Linked DNA regions of Caenorhabditis elegans. The protein of the gene in region 1 purifies or fractionates together with the protein of each later gene. This does not show direct contact. Each region holds a gene or a part of one and is shown in the gene's direction. Other genes may lie near its edges.

Evidence for each region.
Region 2: the proteins of R05A10.2 (region 1) and rnp-9 fractionate together in Caenorhabditis elegans (co-fractionation; one large-scale study listed by BioGRID). This does not show direct contact.
Region 3: the proteins of R05A10.2 (region 1) and fbxc-51 fractionate together in Caenorhabditis elegans (co-fractionation; one large-scale study listed by BioGRID). This does not show direct contact.

Annotation. Positions count from the first base shown.
Region 1 is NC_003282.8:14,175,630-14,179,526, forward strand, and holds R05A10.2 (Secreted phosphoprotein 1), read left to right. Parts: upstream 1-1,641; 5' UTR 1,642-1,654; coding exon 1,655-1,822; intron 1,823-1,888; exon of another isoform or gene 1,889-1,913; intron 1,914-1,958; exon of another isoform or gene 1,959-1,979; intron 1,980-2,059; exon of another isoform or gene 2,060-2,080; intron 2,081-2,172; exon of another isoform or gene 2,173-2,196; intron 2,197-2,355; coding exon 2,356-2,550; intron 2,551-2,571; exon of another isoform or gene 2,572-2,592; intron 2,593-2,875; exon of another isoform or gene 2,876-2,897; intron 2,898-2,963; exon of another isoform or gene 2,964-2,984; intron 2,985-3,067; coding exon 3,068-3,190; 3' UTR 3,191-3,311; downstream 3,312-3,897. Other genes in the region: R05A10.3 (DUF148 domain-containing protein), read right to left, coding at 1-239, 727-844.
Region 2 is NC_003284.9:10,165,457-10,172,326, forward strand, and holds rnp-9 (RRM domain-containing protein), read left to right. Parts: upstream 1-1,848; 5' UTR 1,849-1,997; intron 1,998-2,587; 5' UTR 2,588-2,596; coding exon 2,597-2,695; intron 2,696-2,746; coding exon 2,747-2,839; intron 2,840-2,983; coding exon 2,984-3,044; intron 3,045-3,522; coding exon 3,523-3,610; intron 3,611-3,937; coding exon 3,938-4,013; intron 4,014-4,091; coding exon 4,092-4,211; intron 4,212-4,257; coding exon 4,258-4,324; intron 4,325-5,479; coding exon 5,480-5,667; intron 5,668-5,721; coding exon 5,722-5,868; 3' UTR 5,869-6,237; downstream 6,238-6,870.
Region 3 is NC_003280.10:867,084-872,334, forward strand, and holds fbxc-51 (F-box C protein), read left to right. Parts: upstream 1-1,730; 5' UTR 1,731-1,747; coding exon 1,748-1,815; intron 1,816-2,168; coding exon 2,169-2,554; intron 2,555-2,722; coding exon 2,723-3,620; intron 3,621-4,341; coding exon 4,342-4,516; 3' UTR 4,517-4,616; downstream 4,617-5,251.

The DNA of each region.
Region 1 (3,897 bases):
AGTGATATCATCTTCTCCATTTGTATCATCTTCTAGTTTAGCATATTCTGCAGGGTCTACTGGAGGCATTGTTGATTGTTCTGGTACGCCGGGCTCCATACCTTCCATGACTGGAAGTTCTGGACCGGATCCAGAACTTCCGGGCTCATCAACAGGCATCGGTAGAATCATTGGACCACCCGAGTTCTCCGGAAAAGTCGATTCGTTCTTTGAAGCTGATCCATCAGTGCCGGAGTTTTCTGTAATTTACTTTGTTCAGTTAGACTCTTAATTAGACTAAAAACGGTCTCAAAAAGTATAATTTCATAATGAGACACCTTTAAAAATTCTACGTTTTTATGGCGATTGAAAGTTTTGCAGAGAAACAAATACTTATTTTCAGTCAAAATCTTCAAAAAAGCTCCGTTTTGTTACTATCAGACTAAACATCATTTATCAAATATGACAAAATTAATCAAGTACATGAAACAGTAGTCAATTAATCACAAAAAAATTAATTTTTGAAATTTTTTTAGAGAATTGGTTTTAACGTTTTCTTAAAATCGTTAAATTACCTTACTAATAGAGGAAAGAGGTTTTCTTAAAAGTTATTTTTCAAAAGCGGTGACACAGACAATTTAGCAAAATTCAAGATTTTAATAGAGGAAAGAGTGGGAAGCGTGGAACCAAAACTTTAATAGATGCCAAACTTAACAATTTACTGAAACAATATTTTGTCCAACTCACCATCTTCCAGTGATCCATGAAGCAACCCCACCAAAATCGATAACAGTATAATATTTAGGTGTCGCATTAAAATTTGTTGAAAAATTGTTAGAAATAATGTACACGACCGCGACCCCATAAGGGATTTACGAGCGGATTATTGGAAGATTTTTGTGAAACTATTAAACCAACTGTGGACAGGTAGTCTTTTTTCATTCGGTTACAATTTGGTTTTTAGCTTTTTTTTAAACAAGAACATTTTGTTCCCGTTTCATGGTTTTTATGTAACGAATGAAGAATTTTGTCTGATGCTATGTTGTTCTCGGAATGGTTGCTTAATTTATATTTTTGATGATTATGTATTTTAAAACTAAGTTAACAAGATTTGTATTCAAAAAGATGTGTTCAAGAAATATAGACCGCTCTTCTCATATAACAGTAGAGTAAAACTCCAATACCTTCTAAAAAGACATTGAAACTTTCAATTTTTAGTTTAAGAATCCGACTGTTTCTTGCTCCTAATATTTTTAGAGGATGTGAAAATATATCTGCTCCACTGTTGAACTACTTTCCAAATAAAATGAAGACGATTTGAAAATGGCTGAACAATTTGAAGCGGTTTTTCATGAAATACATACAGAAAGACAAGTGTACTCATTAATTTCTTAATTTTTATATTTTCATATCCAGCTGTTGAAAGAGTATTTATTTTTCATTCACTAAAATTATTCAAATCACGAATTTTAGTCCATAGTGACTAAAATACAGGGGGGATTACATCCAATACCTCCGTTATGATCCTCTCATTCAAAAGTACAACCAATTCGACAAAAAACTAAAAAACCGGTCATCCCGTCCTGTCATCATAACTATCCTCACTCTTACTCATCCGACCATTTATCCAGTTACTAGTCAGATCTACTAAAAGTTTTGTTCAGAAACTAAAATGATGTCGAAACTCGTACATTTTGTGTTCTTTTTGTCAATTGCTCTTCATGTAATTGCTCGTGCAACTGAATCCTCGGAATCCGATACTATGGAGTCTTCGAGGTCTTCTTCGTCGGAGGAAATGAGATATAATGAGGATTTAGAAGATTTGGTGAAAGTGGATGCTGGTGTGAGTTTTCAAATTTTCTGGAAATACCAACTTGCCAAAGTCACTCTATTTTAGTAGTCAGTTTTTAATTGCCGTGTTTGGAGGAAACTAACTCATCTTATAACAGTTGAACTAATTTCTGAGGAACGTGAAACTGTCCAAATGATTCCGCGCGAAAACAAAAAACCTTCCAAAAATGAAAATTTCCAATTTTCTAGAAATGGCAAATGACATTGCAGGTTCGGAAAATTTTATAATTCTTTTCAATAAGCGGGCTCAATACATTTCAAAATAGTTGAAAGTTATAAAAACACACATAAGCAGTAGATTTTTTCTCAAGCTAAAGTGTAATAAGAGTGGTTAATTTAAAGTAAAGAAAACGTTGTTCAGAACTACTAACAAGTTTGCAATATTCACAATTTACCAACTATTTGAAACTGTAAATTTTCTTAAATAATTAAAATATTATTATGTTTCAAAGTACTGTAAATACATTTTAAAGCAAATCCGTACAAATGCTAAAGTGTTTTCAAATTCAAAACTCTAATTTTCAGAACTCAACAATCGAAGAAGTGAAAGATTCTTCTGAAAATTCCAAAAAATCTGGAGAAATTGAAGTGAAAAAAGCTGACAAGCCAGCTGCAGAGAACGATCTGGAGAAATTTGATAAAGGATTGAATTCTGATAAGAAGGAGTACGTTCAGAAAAGATCCCATGTTGATTCGATTTCAACTAACTCTACGGAAAATGTAAGTTGGAATTAAGTGAGCGCTTTTAGTAAAATCATGGCAATATTTATGCCAAAGACGTTGTGCTTTACAGACACCTTGAACCAGTAGAATTTTTTCAAGTGGTTATATTTAAGTATAATTATTAATGAAAAACTGTTCTGAAATTTGAAAAATAAAATGTTATAAAAATTTATGTGGCTGAAAAACTAGATTGATCGACTAGTAATAAATAAACACCTTGAAAAAAAAAATCAAAAATTCTAGTAAAGACAAAAAACGAAAAACTAATTTCCAATTGCCGAAAACTATAATTACCACACTTTATTTAACCAAAAAATTTGTTCATTGTTCAAAACCTCTTTAAACTATCTATAAAATATTTCGACTGTTTCATATAACTTATTTAAAACTGTCGAAATAATCCCGTTTGGTAACATATATTTCTGATTAAAAAAAAAATGCAAAATGAAGGTTTCCAATAAAATAACTGTTTCACGATTCTTATTAAGCAGTTTTGATGCTTTTTGTTTTCCAGCTATCCGACGATGAAATGGATGTAATGGCTCATCTCAACAAGACAATGGACAGTGAAGAGGATATGCAGAAGAACAATGAAACTGTTCTTGGAATTGATACTTTTGGGGCGCCGGGGATTTAAATTTTGATTTTTTTTTGACTTTTTTATTTGGTTTTAAACTATAAAAAAAAGATGAGAAACATAGTTGAATGGGAAATTTGATTTTTTTTTTAATATTTTGAAAAATAAATATTTCTGTTGCAGTCACTTATTAATAGTTGTGAATCATAAACGTAGGTCAATGTTTGTAATTTCTTGAGAAACCAGCGCCAAAAAAATGAAGGCATAGATTAGCTCTTTTAGTTAATGACCGCAGAATCAAAAGCTAGGGACGTCGAAAGCTAACTGGATATTATTGGGAAAACGGGGTCAACAGACAAACCAGGAACCATCAATCGAAAAATACAAAAAAAAACGTTTTTTGTGCATAAATTAATCAGGAAATACTAAATAGGAGTTTGTCGAATTAAATTTTTGTGAAAACATTTTTTACTCATACATTTTCGCTAACTCAATTAATTCGTATTATTTTTTTGTTCCCCATTTGGACTGTTCGCAAGAGTCCCTGATTCTTTAAATATTTTGTCGCCCAACAAAAAAGTTTTATAAAAATTTAAACTTCAAACTTTCCAACACCAAAACAACCGTGACATCACTGATACTATAATTTGACGAAATTGTTCTCAAAAACTAGTTTTCAATTCTATTCCAGTGTTAAGAACAACACAACAACATCAATGACTTTTCTTCACAACGGTCAGATTTATATGAATTATGTGAAATTGACA
Region 2 (6,870 bases), on another chromosome or scaffold:
TAGTTTATATCAACACATTGCATGGTATACAGATTGATATTTGCGATTGAATAAAATAAACATTTGAAGGTGTAAACTGGTCAGTTTGCTCTTGCTCATTCTGCTATTTGGTTTTACCCTTTTTTTCAAATTGATAAGACTTCTTTAAATTAGAAGTTTAATTTTTTGAAAAGATTTGTTTCCAAATAATGCTTAATTAACGTATAAATGGAAACATACTTTTTTTTCAAAATTTAAGGATATAGTACACAAATACATACTGCTTCAGAATGTTCAACCATTTAAGGATACATTTGATTCAAGTAATTTTAATAATTAATTTTTTTGTTTGTATGTAATTTATACAAATCAGAAAATGTTGGTCGTTTACAGATTGAGTCATCTTATTGTTTTTAATCATTGATCTTCGTGACAAAAATGCCGCTCGTTTCCCAAAAATCTATTCCCTTTTTGGAATACGCCATCAAGGCGGATTTTCAATCTTGAAGTATCATTTCCTGAAGTTTTGATATAAGAATAAAATATTATAATTGTAAACTTTATTGATTACAAATCGATTTTGAAGTTGATATTCTTGTTTAACATTTTAATCCTGAAAACACATTAACAAGAAACGTGCTTCATTTGCGCTAAAGTTTTTATCTTTGAAAAAGTCAATGGACTAACATTTTTAGCTACCTGCTTTTAACTACTATTAAGCTTAAGCGATTCGAAAAATTACGGTCTTCACGTCTGTCACTGTGAAACTCTTTTTCTCCTATTTGTAATGTTCTTCACCTAATAAACTGGTGGTTGTATCGATTTGTTGTTCGTCTTCCTTTCCAATACGAATCTGATTGTTATTGTTCAAAAAAGGAACATTTTTATTTCCTCTCGGCTGACTCCGTGCACACTGTCTATTCCTCCCTATTCACAAGCATTAAAACATTCTTTGTTCGTGTCCACCGTTGTCTATTTTTTTTGCCTTCTGCTAAAAGCTCTTTCAGATGCATGAATCTATGAATTTAGGTGTCTCGATTTGGTGCGAGACCCTATTCTCACAGTTGAAGACATTTTCCGCCTTTTTTTATGGGGCCCATGCCTCTCTCAAATATCATTTGTTTATTCCATTTTGCGTATTACCGCTATTCAGCCACACGAACCCTCTAGTGCATTCGTTGCTCATTTTTCGAGTGAGACTAATGGACTACTACTAGATGAATAGGAAAATGAAAATGGAAGAATCCTGAGCTCTCTTACATGAAGAATGACAACGTATAAAAAAGTCAAAGGAAAGGAAAGGTGCTCAAGCTAGATGAGAAGAATAAAAGGAGGTCACAAGGGGTGGGCACTCGGTAAATCTCAAATCTGGTGGGAATGGATGGTAAAATCACAAGAATGAAACGACGTTCCGCTCTTGAGCCCATCGTGAGAAACAACACTGGATGGGTTAAATGTGGAGTCCGGTCTTAGCTCCCAAGTTTGTTGCACATTTTTTCCTTCCCTTCCTTTCCATCCTCTTATTCGCATTTTTCTTGTTTCCGACATAGTCTACACCTCAATATATTCTATTGTTTTCGACTTTCTTAATTAGTTCTCCACCCAATTCCCCTTGGGACAAGGCGGAGCACATCACTCTGCTACAAGAAGATGCTCGGCCATGAAAAATGAATATTGCACCTTCTTCCTCCTTCTACTTTTTTATTTTTTGACTCATTTTCCGGTTATATTCCTTGCCACATTTTTCCATTTATCGATAATCCATTATCACAGTTTAGTTACCTTGTTAGTTTCGCGAGGGATTTGAAAACAAATCTCTTGGCTCTGTTTTTGCTCTTATTTTTCAATGGGAATGCTAATCCGATTCACAGCGTTTTTCCAGGAACATTTGCATTCTTCTCACATTTAAACAAGTCCTGGAACACCACAGTGGTGTTAGTACACAATTCAAGCTGAAACGATCACAGGACCTCATCTCCGTACACGAAGCCGAATATGGTTCGGCTCAGCAGGCGAAGGTAGGTGACTTTTTAGAAATTGAAAGCAATTCGTTGGTACTAAAACCGAGGGCAGTACAAGAACATTAGCATGTGCTTGTAATAAGCCATGTAATTGTTATTCCCTTTTTTTGCTCATAATAGGTAATGCAAATTTGCAATAGATTTTTTAATTGCCACATTCCCGTCAGTAATTTTCCTGGCAAAGAAAAGGAACACAATCTGATCAATCATAAAAAAGAAAGGTGGTTTACAATTCTAAATAAATACAAATGGATAATGCATCTGGTTTCTGTAGAAATAGTGACGTGAACGTTGTTAAGTATGTTCAACAATTGATTTTCTCAAGTTGTCAGAAATATTTAAGTTGTTGCTTTTCCAAATGTTAAGCAGAGAAAAAACAACACTTTTAGTTAAAACAAGCTTCCCAAAACTAAGTTTTATTACATATTGTCTGAATTCACAGGTTAACTGATATGTTTCGAACGATTTTTTAGAAGCAATCACGTGCAATTTTGAGATTATTCTTTCTAGATTAGTCTTTCATATTGATTCTTTCTGAAAAATTGAACTTTGTCAAAACACAGAAATGTTTAAAACAGTCCTTGCAGAAAGCACTCATGTGCTTACCAACTGCGACTCCTCAGACATCCTTGCTTTACTCTCAACAAATGCCTATGAAAAACCTATACTCGCAGTTCCCGGCAGGTTTATTAGACGTAGGTTGATCGGATATTGTGCAACTCAATAATTCATATACCTGTGTTCAGACACAGTCGATTCAATCCTTGGACACATGTCCTCTGCTTCTCCAGACCGCCAGCCTTCCTTCTTTGTCACACATCGGTCTTCCACACTCTTTGGTTTGTTCATTTGCCCATTTCCGCTTATTTCGCACCCTTCTTTCCCCCTTTAGTTACCCTTTCCTCTCGCGCCAATCTTTTTGTCCGATCGAAATACATTCAACTAGTACGGATTCTCATTTGGCAAATGCAATTGTGTTGCAGGAATCAGCCGTGTTGCACTCAGCCTCGGAGCCGCCGATGGAGATGCGAATTGATACAAGCAGTGAGTGTAGATTTGCAGATTTGGATGAAAAGTGTGAAAAATGAATTTGTTTGAATCAAAGATCCTATCAATCTTTATTTTTCAATTACTTTTCTGGCGCCGTATTGGTGTCAGGTCATAAGTCAAAATAGCTGTGAAAAAATATGAGACCAAAAAAAGAAGATAAAGATAAGTCATTTGATTGACCTTATCAATCACACAGACGGATTCACTTTTTTTTTTCAAAACCGTTCTGGGTGTTATTGTATTCTTTGGTTGTTCTTATCACCCTTATCAGACAATTCGAGGTTGTTTAGCCTCATAGCTGCTAACCGTTTTTCTTGAAAGTCACACGTTTTTTATCGTTTTTTATGTTCCGTGGTCAAGAATTGGAAAATATGAAACTGACGACCAAGATGAGATGAAATGAAACCATGCGTGCCAGCACTAAAAAAGAAGAAGATTAGCAATGCAATATCATTTCTTTGCTTCTTTTCAGAGCATTTTCATGTTTTTGTCGGGGATTTGAGCAAGGACGTGAGCAATGAGCTTTTAAAATCAACGTTTACAAAATTCGGAGAAGTCAGGTAAATTTGAGGATAAAATACTTAATTTTGCTTGAACACGTTAACACTATACAAAAGAGTTCGAATCAAAAAACAAACAACACCCTCGTCATTTGGATTTAAAAAAACTTACATAACTTATTTTTTTGAGTAACTAGCAATTTTCCATAAAAATTTTTAAAAGAGTATATCGAAACCGTACTTGGCAAAAAAATATCATCATTCCCAAACCGAAATTTAATAAATTTTATGACAAAATATTGAGCAAAACTGAAAGCAATATTCTCCAACCATTGTTAGATTTTTTACCCAATCTTGACATTTATACCGCGGAAGTATTTTTTTCAGTGAAGCTAAAGTGATTCGAGATGTTCAGACTCAGAAATCAAAAGGATACGGATTTGTGTCATTTCCCAACAAACAAGTTAGTTTCTCTCTGTTTTTTTTACGAAGCCCATTGGTCCTATTTATTTTCGTCGAGAAAACTGAGCCTTGTTTTTAGAATGCAGAGAACGCGATAGCCGGAATGAACGGAAAATGGATTGGGAAACGAGCTGTGCGGACCAACTGGGCGGCACGAAAAAACAGCGAGGAGAATCGCGACAAGCTGACTTTTGAACAGGTGAGATGTTGTAACGTTAAATCTCAATAAAACATGACAGCTCCAGGTGTTCAACTCAACGAAAGCCGATAACACGTCAGTTTATGTTGGGAACATAAGTCAACAGACTACAGGTTAGTTATAGGTAGACAGTGTACTTCATATCAGTCATTAAAAAGGAAATAAATAGAGTTTAAGTTTTTGAAATAAAGAAAACAATCTTTAGAATTACATCTATAGTTTCTTCTGAAATTTAAAGAATTGGGAAATTTGCATTAATAGAGAGACCGTATACTGCTCCGGTAACCAATGGTGAAAGTTGTAGTAGCGCTAGTGGGTAAATTGCTAAAAACCAGTTCCATGGGGACTAAATGGCCAAATATTATGGCCAAAAAAATAGTAAAACTTTCCAAAAATTGTTTTGAAAATTTTTTATTGGCAGTTCGCGATCGCTTTAAGTCACTTTTATAGAAAACTACGCACTTTTATAGAAAACTACGCAATCAAACGAAAAAAGTAATTTTACAAATTAAAAAAAATACTTTTACTGAAATATTTCGTCATTGTGGTTCCATATGCATGTTTCAAAGCAATTTCCCCATTGGCTCTACTCCGCAGTGAAACATCGAAGTTTATAATTGTTATAAATTTTATTTGACAAATAATATTGGAAACTTAATTGAAACGTTTATTTTTTTTAGAATTTTTCCAAATCATACTAATATTTTTGATATAGGTTTTCCGTGAAATTTAATTTTTTAAAGTAAACTAGTGTTATTGAGCATTTGGATAATACAAACTGATTTTTAAGAAGTAAGTTGACAGGCGTTGTAATTTTAATTTTGCTAATTTCGCAATGCACATCTATGATACATCTTTGAACAAATTAATAGCAATAGTTTTAAAAAGTTAATGCTCTATCTGATACATTTTACTTGTACTGGTTAAAATGGTATTTTTGCAGGCATTTTTTAATGTTTACAATCAAATTAAGACACTGTAGTTGTTGACAAAACATAAAACCATTAAAAGATCATTTCAATTTCTCGAATGGCCTTATTCGGTAACTTTCCCATAGTTTATTAACAGAGTAAACCAGTTCCATGTCTTTATCTCATTAACAAACTTTCTAACGGATATGAGGCTATCATCATTTTTCCTCATCACATCCTACTGCTTGACACTTCCGCCTGGTAGACAGTGAGAACGTCCCATGAAATTTGATAAATGACTTTCTGCCTTTTATCCTATCACTGCCATATGTTATATCTATGTACATATTTTTATAGACGCTGATCTCCGCGATTTATTCTCAACATATGGTGATATAGCGGAAGTGCGTATTTTCAAAACCCAAAGGTACGCGTTCGTCAGATATGAGAAAAAAGAGTGTGCCACAAAAGCAATAATGGAGATGAATGGAAAGGAGATGGCTGGAAATCAAGTCAGATGTTCCTGGGGAAGAACTCAGGCAGTGGTAATAAATAATCAGTTATCAAATGCTTTGAAAATCACAGTATTTAATTTGCAGCCTAATCAAGCATTAAATCCTCTCCCAATTGATTTGTCATCCTTGATGATGCCTACAATGCTTCCAACTACAATCCCACTAATTCAAAATCCCTTCTTGAACTACGAGCCAGCCACTCTTTTGTACAGTTCCTTCCCACAATGGTGATTAATTTATTAAGACTCTTTAGGAAGAAAATGAAACGCAAAAGGAATAATGAGTCAGAACACGGTTACTTTTTCAAATTTCAAAATATTTAAATTTCCGCTTTTTTGTGAGTGATTCAATGTTTTTTTTTCTTTTTTCGAGTTTCCGGTGTTTCATTTTCCATCACAGTTTTCTTCCTACAAATAGAGGTCCGAGTACATTTTTTCTTGTTCATTTTTAACTTTTCTTCCCGTCTGATGTTTCCTGAGTGGTTCTTTTTACTTCTTTTCTGTCATTTTCCTGCTATTCATATTTTCACATTTTTCACAGAATGATAATCATTTTTGTTTGTGCAAAGGGATTTTAATAAATTATTACAATGGGATAATTGAATGAAAGTTCAAAAGCTGTGTATGTGTGGGAAGGATAGAGAAACATAGAGAGAACTAAAGCATTATGCTATTAATGTTTCAAATCATCATGACTAAGAATGTTCACGTAACAATTTATCTGCTTGACAACACTTTTAGATTATTTGCGAAATTTTTTTTTCAGAAAATTTCAATTCCAAATTACTAAGAAAAAGTTTCAAAACTATTGTTCATTTTACACGTGTCTGCACTTTCAAGATGTTTTCCGGTGATCTCATGATTTGAATAATGTGTCCACCTACACTCATTTTTGTTAGGGTCAGCAAAGTGGTATTCCAAAAACCAAAAACCTGATACTTTGCATTGTCGAATAAAATTGAAATTAAATTTTCAAAGTACAATGTCCTTCTAGGGGCCCACCCATTATTTCATGCGTCATAAGAGTCTGTATGTCTGCTACCAACTATCAGATATAAAGTGACTGTATCTTAACTATACAGCATACTGATTTCACAAATCACTGTGGTCTACCACTATACCATTCTGTAATCTTCTACTACTACTGCTGCCTCCTCCTGACAAGGTCATTGATATCCTACTTTGCCCGCCCACCCCCGGGAGACCCATCGATTCCGAAAAATCACTGCTAGTG
Region 3 (5,251 bases), on another chromosome or scaffold:
GCAGTAGTTTAAGTTGGAAAACTCGGGAAAATTTTGATCATTTTGAATGAAAACTGATTGAGCCATGGTCATTTGAGATAATATTATTTCTGGGTCTTTTCTATCCGTGTATTCGGGCCTGCGGCCCTCAACCTGGATTATTGGGCTCAGAGTAGGCTTAAAGATTGTCCAATACTTCTATGTGTATTTGGGCCTGCAGCCCTCAATCCGAATTAACTGATCTTTTCAAATACAGACGTAGTCTCATAAAAGTCCTCCAGCCTGCTCTGCTGGAAGTAGGGATAGAAAAAGCCTAAAGTTTCTAAGAGTAAGCAGGCAGCCCTTATCCCTGATTTTTGGATTTGAGTGAAATGAAATAGCATTTGGCCTGTCCTGCTGAGGTTAAAAGTGGCCATAATGTTCAAAAAGTGCGGTCCTCAATATGATTGGAGCTATTGAAACAAATTGCTCAAAAAAAAACGCCAATCCTAAGCTAAGATATAAGTTCTCAAAGTGCAGTCACATTTCTCGGGACACCTCATGTCGAAAACGTGCCCTTATTTTTTATTTCTGTCAAGTGTGCAATTTACGGATTTAATATAGGAACACTTGAAAGCCCGGAAATGTCGGCTGCGGTTCTTGGTTGATTTTTTGTTAATACAAGCTTGAAAAATCTTGTGAGATGTCTTCTACTGTTTCGACATTTTGAAAGGAACCGGGAAAGTGTCGGCTGCAAACAAAGTTGATATTAAAGTCAGCATCCGACATCTCAATGGATGTGGCCAATTTTGAAATGGAAGCCTGTGCTAATGCACCATGATAAACCCGAATAAAAGGGCACTGAAGATCAATTTTCATTCTTTTTTTCGCATTTTTGGCGACCCAATATCTACCAATTTTCCAGCGTAAAGTTAATTTTCTGCCTGTTTTTTTTTTGCAAACACGGCAAATGTTGTAAACAACATATTAGTATCAAGGTCAGATTTGGTCCAAACCAGCATGATTCTTGCCCCCCTCTACCCTAAAATAGTTTGTCAAATAGAAGCCTCAATTGATTTTTCACATGAAAATTTTTCAAATACCAACTTAAAAATATCATAACTCAGCTGAAAGTTGAGCTAGCAAAAAGTTTTCCACCAACAAAATGTTTGAAAATTAATTTGAAATATTTTTGTAGTTGACAACTTTTCAATAGCTCAATTTTCAGCGGAGTTATGAGCTTTTGAACTAATTTTTCACAAAAAAAATCTATAGAATCTCTTTTATTCTAATTCTCCATTCACATCAAGTAGTCCGGGTACGTGTAGGCTCTCTATAGAGGACCGATGCTCAAGGTCAACAGAGATAAACATTCCCGCCCCGTCTGCGACAGATGGACAGAGGTCACCTAGTTATTTAGGGTAGTCTAATGGTCCCTATTGCCTCTCCAACGGGGGTATGTAATAGGGGGAAGACGGACAATTATTGGGTATTTTCCACAAGTTTTGAACTATTTTTTGGCTGTTTTGTCCGATTTCTGACAATTTTTGGACTATTTCTAGCTATTTTTCGACTATTTTTTTATATTTTCGTTGAAATTTTGCTATTTTTGGCTACACTCTGGCAATATTTTACTACTTTCGAATGCAGCTTTACTACTTTTTGGAAATTTGTTTACTAGATCATAGTCATTTTTTGTCAGTTTTTCACAATTTTCTCGTTTCTTTCAACGTTTTTCTCACTTTTCGCACCAATTTCCCACTTTTTTACAGGTAATAAATACCTACATATGAGCTTAACACCACTCCCATATGAGTGCCAGAAATGTGTACTACAGTTCTTTGAAGCTAATAGGAGGTATGCTTTTATTTTTTTTTGGAATTCTGATTGTAGAGCTGAAAAAAGTTTTTGAAAAGCTATTAAAGTTTAAAAAGAGTTTGGAATATATTTTAGTAGGTTACTTTTTCAGAGCAAAAGTTGATAAATTTACAGTCGATGCATCATGTTTTCCTCAACTTTAACAGCTCAAAATTCAATTTTCTTTGTGTAAAAATTTATTAAAACGGGCTTCGGTAGAAGTATAATAACTTAAGCAATTTTCTGTCGATGAACCATGTTTTGCTCAAATTTTGAGCCGTTCCTAGAAGTGGGGCAGCTACCAATATTATTTTTACTTTTAAACACCTATCAACCTACTTAAAATATTCCAGATTTAAATTAGTGGAACGATGTGACTCCCTAAAAGCAGCCGACAAAGCTGCTCCCCTCCACATCTACAAGCTCTACATGAATCCCCGTGTCATCCGAATCAACCGACATAGGTACACGTTAGGACTGCTCCGCCACCTACCGAAAGACCATGTCTACTATAGTCCATATATCAACAATGTGAACTTAGATGGAGGTGCTGCCTATGATATGGATCAGTATGGGCTTAAGGATCCCCGCTGCAATGAGGTTTTGAGCCCTGGAGATTTGAAAGTTGAAAGCAAGGAAAAAATTAATAATATGGAGGATATGACAATGGAGATGTTGCAATTTGCAATGCGGGATTTTATAAGACCACAGGGGCGGATGCAGGTGCAGCAGAGGGAAGGTAGGTGATAAGGAGTCCAGTGATATGTCGGCTGCTGTTTAAGAAAATTTAGAGCACTATCTCAGTTGACAAATTTGTGATAGCTTGATTTCTAGCTGAAATATGATAGCTTAAAGTGTTTCGGCGGCCAATTTTTGTTTCGGAAAATCTCAAAAATATATTTTTCAGACCCTGAAAGCTCTTCCGAAGATGATGAGGATGAAGCAGAAGATCTTCCAGCAGAAGGATCAGATGATGAAGACGATGACCCCCAGGAAGCTCAGATCCGGCGTATCCTCGGCGACGCTTACCTCCCAAGAGCACGCTATTCATCTTCAGAATCCGAAGCATCTGAATCCGAAGACGAGCCAGACATAGATCCAGCAGTCACCGACCAACTCGAAGCATACACGAATCCATACAGCTGGCGAGAGGAAAATGAACCAGCTCCATACAGATTTGGCATCAGATTCCAAAGGATGAACTTAGACTTCAGGCGGGACAGGGAGACTTTCCATGGGATCATTGAGTATCTGGATTATAACAAGAAAATGTATGATGCGATGAAGTATATCACAGAGAAGTTGTTCGGAAAAAGAGCTCACCCAATTGTGATAAAGACCCTGGAGCTTGGTGATGCAGGTGGGGTCTACCGACTCCCCGAGAATTTTAAAGTGAAAGTTTCCAATATGAGATTTGGTACGGAGTTCGGACTGCTTTGGGATGGTCTGAACAGTATTTTCCACGAGAGCACTCTGCCTTTCAAGAGCTTGCATATGCCTCTAGAGCACGACCACCCAGTTATCCATGCCACCCAGCGTCTGGTTATCGGAACTGAGAAAATGTTTGGGGAGAACTTTGCCTGGATCCCTTTCCTACTGAAGCTTCCACAGAAGAATGTCTACATGCTTCATAGTCCACTGTTCCATCATGACTATGTGCAGCTGATTGATAATTGGATCGAGACACCGAAGAGTATTGGGACCTGCTTTACGTTTGGTGTTAAGCAGTATCACGCCACCCAATCCACATTGAACTTGCTCGGGGATCATCCGATGGTTGTGAGCAAGAGGATGGAGGGAGTAGAGTAAGTTCGCAAAATTCAGGATGCATCGATGCACCAGCTGGAAATTTGGAGCTCCGATGCACCATGTTTTTAGGGAAAAGTCGACAAAAAATCTTCATTTAGTTTTTATTTGAACATTGCACTGATATGTAATACATCGAAATTTGAGTTTGAGGCTCTTTAAATAGATACAAACTACCTCACTTGTGCTTTTTCGAACTTTTCAAAAGCCCGTGAAGTGTCGGCCGCTGTAACTTTTCTCCTGGTAGAGCTAGTGGAAAGTTGTCAACTACAAGATTGTAGATGCTATTATTTGCAACGGTTTTGCAGTTGAGCAATTTTATGAAAGTAGTTGGGTTTTTGAGTTATGCTCTTTCGAAATTAGTTGTTTTTTTTTTGCAAAATTATCCAAAAACTAAAACTCAAATTTCTAACAACTTTTACAAAAACTTTCGTGTTGCAAATGCGTTGCAAAAATTCTGACTTACAATTTCAAATTTTTCTGTGGCAGAACCTGTTCTGCGGCGCGCAGGTTCGATTTTATGCAAAAATTTTTTTTTGAAGTTTAGCATTACACCTCAACTATGGAGGCTTATATCTTGATGGAAAATTGTTTACTGGCAAAATAATAAATATTACTTTCACTATAATTTTTTATTAAATATTCTAAAATTATCTAATGTACATACTAGTTTATAAACTTCCAAAGTTGGACTCTTCCCAAATTTTCCTTTTTTTCCAGCTGCACCGAATTCCCTCACTGCTTCAACATCCCGCTGACCTATGAATCCGAGCTTAATGTCTACGGTAAGAAGAGAACTGAAAACTTGGACCCTTTGGAGTTTATGCCACATGTCAGTTGGTGCCTGGTCTTCGAAGTGATGCCAATTGGAAGCGCTTTACCATTGGAGGACTGATTTTTCAATTTGCTAATTTTTTTTTTCAATTATGTCTTGTTGTCGTGTTTTTGATAATCTGAAATTTGTTGCGTGGATTTTAATAAAATGTTTTTTTGGTACTAAAAATGTTCCTAAATTTTTCTATATTTTGCTAGTTACCGGCTCAACGAAGGTGGTATATTTTAAAATCTGAATATCTGTAAATCTACAAAAGTTAGCAAAAGATTGTCAATTAACAAAATAATCTACGCAAATTGTTCTATAAGTTGTTAATTTACAAATTTTTTGTAGCTCAACTTTGAGCATAGTTATGATAGCTCTAAGTAGGGACAGGTTACCTGATTTTTATCAATTTTAAAACTTAAATATCTCCAAAAGCATCAAAGCTAATAAAAAATGTTGGGTATCTACGTGTACCTTACCCTTAACGTGGATATGAAGATCGTGTAACGTGAACTCATTATCTATGTATACTAACTTTCTATTTATTCCTTAGTTATGTAATAATAAACTACTCGTCTTCGCCTCCTTGTTCGGCCTCGAATATATAACATTGGCGATCAGGATCTTTCGGGCTCACTGCACCACTGACTTCATGCACATGTCTACTTAGAAGAAAAGACCTCTGAGGTATTGTTTTGATCTACACATGTCTACTGGGAAGAAAAGACCTCTGAGGTGGATCAGGTCAGCTTTGGGAAGAGGCACCTGCCGTGCTCTCTGCAGTTGCAGTCAAGGTGGACAGGAGCGGCT